Linked DNA regions of Drosophila melanogaster. The gene in region 1 interacts genetically with each later gene. Each region holds a gene or a part of one and is shown in the gene's direction. Other genes may lie near its edges.

Evidence for each region.
Region 2: of ana2 (region 1) and Sas-6, changing one enhances a phenotype caused by changing the other (phenotypic enhancement), as found in Drosophila melanogaster (one study listed by BioGRID).

What each region holds. Positions count from the first base shown.
Region 1 is NT_033778.4:8,898,127-8,902,122, reverse strand, and holds ana2 (anastral spindle 2), read left to right. Parts: upstream 1-1,911; 5' UTR 1,912-2,002; coding exon 2,003-2,756; intron 2,757-2,807; coding exon 2,808-3,316; 3' UTR 3,317-3,394; downstream 3,395-3,996. Other genes in the region: MrgBP (MRG/MORF4L binding protein), read left to right, coding at 816-1,230, 1,283-1,473; CG13751 (uncharacterized protein), read right to left, coding at 1,548-1,781; Sec31 (secretory 31), read right to left, coding at 3,546-3,734, 3,801-3,872, 3,950-3,996.
Region 2 is NT_033777.3:29,993,853-29,997,850, forward strand, and holds Sas-6 (spindle assembly abnormal 6), read left to right. Parts: upstream 1-1,504; 5' UTR 1,505-1,514; coding exon 1,515-1,688; intron 1,689-1,747; coding exon 1,748-2,599; intron 2,600-2,657; coding exon 2,658-2,991; intron 2,992-3,045; coding exon 3,046-3,104; 3' UTR 3,105-3,174; downstream 3,175-3,998. Other genes in the region: CG7903 (uncharacterized protein), read right to left, coding at 21-236, 296-887, 941-1,226, 1,298-1,306; CG15525 (uncharacterized protein), read right to left, coding at 3,175-3,523, 3,586-3,722. UniProt on the Drosophila melanogaster protein: Central scaffolding component of the centrioles ensuring their 9-fold symmetry. Required for centrosome biogenesis and duplication. In ciliated neurons, required for centriole assembly but not necessary for cilium basal body and cilia function.

The sequences.
Region 1 (3,996 bases):
TTGGTTATATGTAGTTTAGATATCTCATTCTTTGTACAGGCTTCCCCATACGGGCACAACATCGAACAGGCGACACAAAGCTATAACATATGTGTACATTTTCGCGATTCTAGACAGAGATAGTTGGTAGATTGGTGTAGTTTAGTCAGTGTTTAGTACTAGGCGGGAAGTTAGGATAGCTAGATAGTGAGTCACACTACGCATTAACATATGTGTTATTTTGTGGCACATGTAAAGAACCGAACGCAGGCATTGGTTTCATCGATCGCATTGCTGATTAACTTTCCAGCCGAACTGGAAGCCTTGACGCGAACAAGTGCAAGGTTATTAACTGACCCCAAGTGGGCGTGGTGGTGGGCGGTGGGCGCTACTTGTGCCAGCACATGGAGAACCCGAGTTGTGTGCAAAAAACACTGCTCAACTCGTTGGGAACACCGAAAATTAGTTTTTTATGCAGAAATAGTGAAGGAGAACACACACACAAACACACGAAGGCGTACTGCGCCGTGTGGTTAGCAGAGGGATTATAGTGGAAAAGTGAAGTTTTCGACGGATGCACACACAACACATAACTATATTTGCACACTATTTGTTAATTACCAGCTCCGGCTTATATGTTTTTTTTTTTTTTAAATCTCGAACTCTACGGGCTAAAATCGAGCAAAGTTGACGAATAAAAGTGGATACACACCCAAACTAGTGATGTGCCGCGCGGCGATAGTTCGGGTGCGTGAGCGCACCCGCATACCATCGCTAATATTCGCGCAGAAAAACATACAATACGTATCAGTTTTTAGTTCCATGCGCTCTGCAAAATGATGGCCAAGGACAAGGGTCTGGCTGTGGCCGGAACGGCGGCCCCCTTACCGGCCGCCCTCGACCACGAGTGGTCCGCCGAGGAAGAGCTGCAGCTGTTCCATGCAATGGAAGGCCTGCGCCCGGTGGGCATCAACAAGCACTTCTACATGTCCTGCATTGTCCAGCGTCTGTCCAAGTCGCTGAACCGTGAAATGCCCAGCGAGCTGATCTGGCGCCACCTGGGCACCATGTACAAGCTGAAGGAACTGGACGATCTGGAGTCGCTGCCCTTTCCCAACGAGGAGCGCGAGTTCAGCCTGCCGGAGCAGGATTACGGAACGCTACAGACCAAAAAGACGGTGGAAGTGCATGCCAACGAGGAGGCTGCAGAGGCACAGTCGGCCCCTCCAACAGCAGAGACCAATGGCAAAGGTAGTTCGTTAGTTATCATCAGGATTCATTCACTTGTAATGTTGTTTTACAGCTCCACCTGCAACCAAAACGCCGGTACCGACGAATTCCACCAAGGACGGCGACAAAAAGCCCGTCGCCAAGCCCCAGGAGCAGCTGCCCAAGCGTCCGGCCAAGCGCACACGCGGCTCCATGTCCAACGAGTCCATCAGCCCCTCCACTACGCCGCCGCCGGTGCAGAGCAACAAGCGCCGTCGCATATAGGTGACCCCCGCCCGAAACTGACGATTGTTGATCCGTTTTAGCTCATTAGTTTTACTGTACTCTAATAAAAGGATTTATTCTTCGAAATCGTTGTCCTCCTCGTTGGAGCCGTTCCCGTTCTCCTGCGCCAGAACCTCGGTGGCCTGCATGTTTTCCAGGAGCGATTTGAGAAGGCGTCGGTTGAGATGGTCGGTCTGCGTCAGTTCCCGGACTGCCTGGGGCGGAGCATTCTCGTCTGCCGGTGCAGGGCTGTTCTCAGCTGGAGTCGGAGTCTCTGCCATGGCTTTGATGTGCTCCAAAACAGGCATTTTTCCCCCGAGAAATTTCAGCTTTTGCTATGACACACAGTCCGCTGGGTGACTCGTGCACTTGGAAACTTGGCTAAGTGTAGGGTACACTCGATAAAGTATCGATAAGTTGGCGTTTTACGTCAGCCCTAGTTCCACCCCTAAGTCGATCGACTTCCAATTGGACAGATTCTCCCGCTCGAATTTAATTTAATCGGCAAATATAAACAAATACGCTCCAAATGTTTGTTCCCGAAACGGAGGATATGCTGCCCAGACTAGCGCCCAGGCCGAGTGCAGCAGTGCCCATGGGCCACACCAATGAGATTATAGGGCCCACCGTGCCGGAGGTATCCATATTGTTTGGCCAGCCGCCGCAGGATCCGCAGATGCAGCCGCAGCAGCCAAATCATGCACATCAGGAGTCATCCCCTCGTGCTGCACCCACCTTCGCGTCCTGGAAGAAGCAAATGCTGCCCAGGGTCAACTTTTCGCCCATTTTGGCCACAGAACTGGGTCCTCGCACCGCTCCCAGCAGCAATAGTCCGTGCTCCTCGAAGGAATACCAAGTAATGCCCCGGGATCGCAACTATGCAAGCGATGCGCAGCAGACTACCAATCATATGAACTGCAATGCTGGTGGCTATAATGCCGAGCCCAAGCAACAGGCATATCAATCTAGGCGCTTGTCCAGCTCCTCCAACGCAGATGTCCTCACCATCTGTGCTGGCACACAGACCGATCCCTTCAACCCATCTCCTCCGCGAAAATCACTGCCCCAGGTTGTCTATTCCGACATCGACGTCAGCAACTTGGCCAATAAGAGTGATCTGGCGGCTCTGGTATCCCTTGTGGAGTCCGTGCGCCATGAGCAGCAACAGCTTCGGAATCTCTGCGAGATGATTTTGGAGCAACAGCAGCGAGCGAAACCCGAAGCCATTTCAAAAGCCAGCAGTACCACTGGCACCCAGTGCGATATTCTGACCACCAATCAAGGTGCGTACGTTGAATCTGTATGAAAAGAATCCAATAAAACATCCTTCCTAGCAGGTAGACGCTTGTCTCCCATTATGCAGGATTACATAGCAGAGGAGGAGGAACCATTGCCGCCGCCACAAGCACGAGTGATTCCTCAGTTTCCGTCTCCTCGACCACATCCGCCGATCGCCCAATCTACGGGCTACCGGGCCAATACGCCTCAGGCGAAGCGGATCCCTCAACTGGCCAAGCCCAACACCGAGAAGAGCATGGTGATGAACGAGCTGGCGCTGAAATACTTGCGCCAGCCAGTGGATGAGTTGATGAAGGATATGCGCCTGGGGGCGTCGCCGAAGTCCCCTAATCCAGAGCCACTGCGTCCGATCGACAACATAGGCCACGCGCAGAGTCCAAACGACATATCCAATGCTTCGTACAAGTATCTCAAAAAATACCGTCTGCTGCCCGAGGAGCAACTGGAGCCGGTGTGTCCACAATCTCCCATGGCGGCGACCGCCCCTTCGCCACATATTCAACTGGACTTGGAGAATATCAGGAACCAGCCGAAGCTGTTGTGAAAGCATGTACAATGTTCGTTTTGTTATTTATGCATATGTCTATTTGCGATTTAAGTGGAAATATATTTCAATACACGGAATAACGTTGACAATCTTCTGGTGATCCCAGCCTAAACTAACGTAGAGAACCACTCTTTGTATACAAAACATTTTGTGTTTGACATCGATATCTGAAGACACAATAAGAATATACGTTTAGTGAACTTGGCTGCGATCCGGCGACGGGGCTCTAACGCAGAACCAACTGTAGCTCGGATGCGGATTGCAGTAGGACCTTCAGTCCCTGCATAAAGCCCGCGCACTGCGCAAAGTCCGTTCCGAAGGCGATTTGCGTGTGGATTTCCATAGCATTGGCATAGTCGGATATTTGAATGTACTGAACTATTTGATTCAGATATTGCACCGTGGTGGGAGTGAGCTGGAATTAAAGTAAATGCCATTTGAGAATTGCAATTGAATCGCGATCTAAGGCAGCAGCTCTCACCTTTCCATCTCTCAGGCAGTCGTAGAGATTTTCGAGCCTCTTGACAACATCGACAAACTTTCGTTTTGTGCGCTTAAAATGTAAGAAAATTTATAAACAAAAGTAAGTTATTCCTTTTGTCTATATGGATCATTTATTAATAGACTTACCGGATCATTGGTTGCGCCCAGGCAGCGGTTCTTCAGCTCCTCCAGCA
Region 2 (3,998 bases), on another chromosome or scaffold:
GACGATATGAATGAACCTACCGGTTTCTTTGGCCTGGACCTCCGCCGCCACTGCCCAAGGGCGGGAACTCCGAGTGATATGCATTTATGCCATTCTGATTGTGATTTCTACCTCCTGAACCTCCGCGTTTGCTTGGGCCTCCTTGGGGACTGCTTGTCTCGTGACTGCTATCGCGTCTGTCATTGAATCCGCCTCCTCCTCCATTGAAAAATCCACGTCCTCCCGGTGGATTTCCTCTATATGGCAAAACAAGATATTATATATAATTTAGAACCCAATCTTATGCACAACTTACCCATTAGTCCCACGATTGCCAGAGTTCATTGGTCCATTGCCAAAGCGTCCGAAGCCCATTTGCTGCTGCTGATGCTCTACAGGCAGGGCAAATCCACGTCGATCCTGTCGCACATGGCTTGGACCTGGGCCGCCGCCGCCGGCCCTCTGATTTACGGATCCTCCTCCCCCGCTGCTGGAGCTGCCTCCCTGAAAGTCACTATTATTGCCTCCTCCCCTATATCCGCTGGTTGGACTGTTCTTAAAGTTTCTTCTGCCAGGCTGTGGTCCACTGTTGTCCCGCTGCTGAAACCGATTGCTGCCGAAGCGTCCCTCGTTGCCCGCGCTTCCACCGAACTTGCCTCCGCCTGCAAATTTGTTCCTAAAGCCCTGTCCCTGATTGGAAGACTCATTGTTCGGTGGTCCTTTCGAGTATGGAGCACTGCGCTGTTGTCTGTAGTTGGACTCGTTTCTCACGGGACCAAATTTGGCGGCCGAGGAGTTCGAGCTCCTTGGGCCTTCGTTGGAGAATCTGCCACCGACTTCCTCACGAAAGTTGCGCTTGAAGTTGGTATTGGATTCATGAGGTCTCTTGTCCGCCCCGCCACCTTGAACTGAGGATGATGAAATACTTAGATGCTGGATCTTTGGAGTGATCAAAGCTTACCCTGCGAGGGCCTGCGCCCCGGATTGTCCCCAGAGCCCGGCTGACCTCGACTGCCACCTCCCGGGCCGTACTTTGGCCTGCCCGCCTCCACCACAATGGGCTGGCCCTTGAAGATGGTGCCATTCAGCGCTGCGATGGCCGCCTCCGCCATGTCCGTGTTCTCCAGATGGACGAAGGCGCAGCGATTCATCACGTCGCACTCAACGACCGATCCATAGTTGGTGAACAGTCGACGCAGCTCCTCCGGCTTGCAGCGCGGCAGGCTGCCGACGAACACCTTGGCGGTCTGCAGGATAAAGCTAGCATTACTCCGGATTACTATGGACAATCCGGCGGCGCTGCCTCTTTCTTACGTACAGTATTCATGTATTTATTTTTCTCTACAACTTTTCGCTGTTTTTTTCTTTTATTGAAATGGAGATGGACAACTGTGCACCTGACCGGCAGTGTGACCAGCGATGGCTACTTCCACGGCCATATCGGTAGCTATCGACATCGATAGACCCAAGCCATCACTTTTGTTTACCAATTTTAAAATTTTAAAAATTAAGGTTTCTCACGAGCCTGATCTATCATGTGGCCTCCAGGGAGCGAGGATAGCTACTCCGCCAAAATGGACTATGGCAAGAGCGTGGTGAACATCCTGCCCAGCGTAGAGATGCTGGTGAACTTTAATGGCGAAATGACGCGGTCTAGCAAACGGTCATGTCTACTGTACGCGGAGAGAGTGGACTTCAAGGAGCTGCTGGTAAATATGCTTGTCAAGACCTCCTCCGATCAAATTTCAATACATCCTCTGCCCCACAGCAACTCCGATTAACGGAGAAGTCCGATCAACGGCGCATGTACATCACCACAGTGGACAGCGCCTCCTTTCAGGATCTTAAACAGGATCAGTCGCTGAATGTGTCATTCTCTGGGTTCATTGACAATGTAGTGCGCATGCTGAAGGACTGCCAGTCGGGTAAACTGGAGCTGCACCTGACCACACGGGATCAGAACCTTTCATCCGGCAGGGAGGTCCACGACTATTATCTTCAGTTTGTTGAAATTCGGTCCTTTAAGAACCTAGTTCACCTTAGCCTGCCTTGTCGTTCTGCTCCCTTGAACACCGTACTCTTCTACATAAACAGCATGCTGGAAGCCTCCCACAAAAAGCAATATATTCTCGAGCAAAGTATGCAGCAAATGCAGGCTGAAATCAACGCACAACGCGCGCATGCGGAAAGGTTGACCACGGAAAACACAAATATCAGGGAAGCTTTGGCCGAAAATACTCGCATCTTAGAGGAAAAGCATGCTGCCGAGGTCCATCAATACCAGGAAAAACTGTCCAAAATAAACGAGCAGCGCAGCAATGAGCTGGAGAGAAATCGTAGAGCGATCTCCGGCTTTCAGGCCCAATTGGACAAGGCTTCGTTGGAGAAAGCAGAACTAAAGTCGGCCCAAGAGCAGGCCGAGAAACGATGTCAAACCCTGTCCGAGGAGTTGTCCTGTTGCAAAGCCAGAGTGTGCACCCTAAAAGAGCAAAATGACAAACTGCACGGGGATGTGGCCAATATCAGGAAGCATGAACGCAAGTTGGAGTACAAAATCGAGGACCTCAAGCAGCACACTGTCGAGCTGCAGGAACATATTCAAAAGGGAAACAAAGAGAAGGTATGTGTATAAAAAGAATAATGCACATCAGAAGAGTATATCCCTTTTAATTTTGCAGGCCAACATAGCCGCTGAACTGGAGGCCGAGAAGAAGATCCTGCACACCAAGCGCCAGGCTTTGGAAATGGCCTCCGAGGAGATCTCCAAGGCCAACCAGATAATCGTTAAACAAAGCCAGGAGCTGCTCAACCTCAAAAAGACCATTGCCTGGCGCACAGAGGTGGCTCTGCAGCAAGAGAAGGCGGTTCAGGCCAAGGAGAGCCTACTATCCCTGCGGGAGAATGAGCTGCGCGAGGCTCGAATAACTATTGAAAAACTGAGGGAGGAAATCCCCCAGCAACTGCAATCCATGCGTAACTTTGCCCAGGGACTGGAGCAGAAGTATTCCAAACGTAAGCTGAGACCCCAATCTTTAAGTGTACCTACTTACAACTTGCTCTTTTCAGAAATCCTCATTCTAAAAGAACGGCTTGCAATACCCACGGGCAAAGAAAATCGGCGATAGTTTTACTTATTGTTAATGCATTTTTTCGTTTTTTGTACCAGTTTAGTAAAGTTAGTTGTATTATTCAGCTCTAGTCATAATCCTCCTGAACACTTTCACCTGCATGAGCCGTGGCCACATTCACCGCTTGGCTGATATCCTCCATTTGGTTCAGTTTCAGTCGCTCACGGATGAGTTCAGCAATAGCTTTCTGGGTACGTCGTTCCAGTCGCTCCAACTTTTTGCTGGCATCCCGCTTCAGATCCCAGTCGGGTTTTCGGGGAGCCAGGTTGGTTATGTCAATCTCATCTATCACCATGGGCTGCTGGAGCAGACTCAATTGATCCTCCACAGCTGATTCTATGTTGCCCGTGGGTTCCTGTGCTAGAATCTCGCCATCGGTGGTCTCATTCTGGGGCTTGTAGCTGCGGAAAACTGGTCTGCAAAGATATATGAAACTGGTTTATAGGGATTCATAATAGCATTTCATTGTATTGCTGACTTGGGTAACTTTTCAATGGACTCGGCAGCGTCTCCTCCTTTGTTTTGCACTTGTTCCCGGAGTTTTTGCAGACGCTCCTTGCGTTTTAGAGATTCTTGTGTCAGCTTGCCGACGCCATTGTTGTCCATCATGCCCATGTGAAGTTTGTTCTCAAGATAATACAATTAATTTAAATTTGAGTCTGGGGTCTTTACGTTTATTTATTATTGTTATGTTTCTTGTTCTTCCCATACATATATCGTATATCGATTACAATCGCGTTCGTTACCAGCTTGGAATTATGCAGGTATGAACTATTATTTTACAACAAGATATTTGTTGTTATACAAGATTCGATTTTATTTTATTTATTACAATTTAAGATTAAGGAGGCGTATCAAGATATTAAAAATACATAATTACTTTAGTGACGA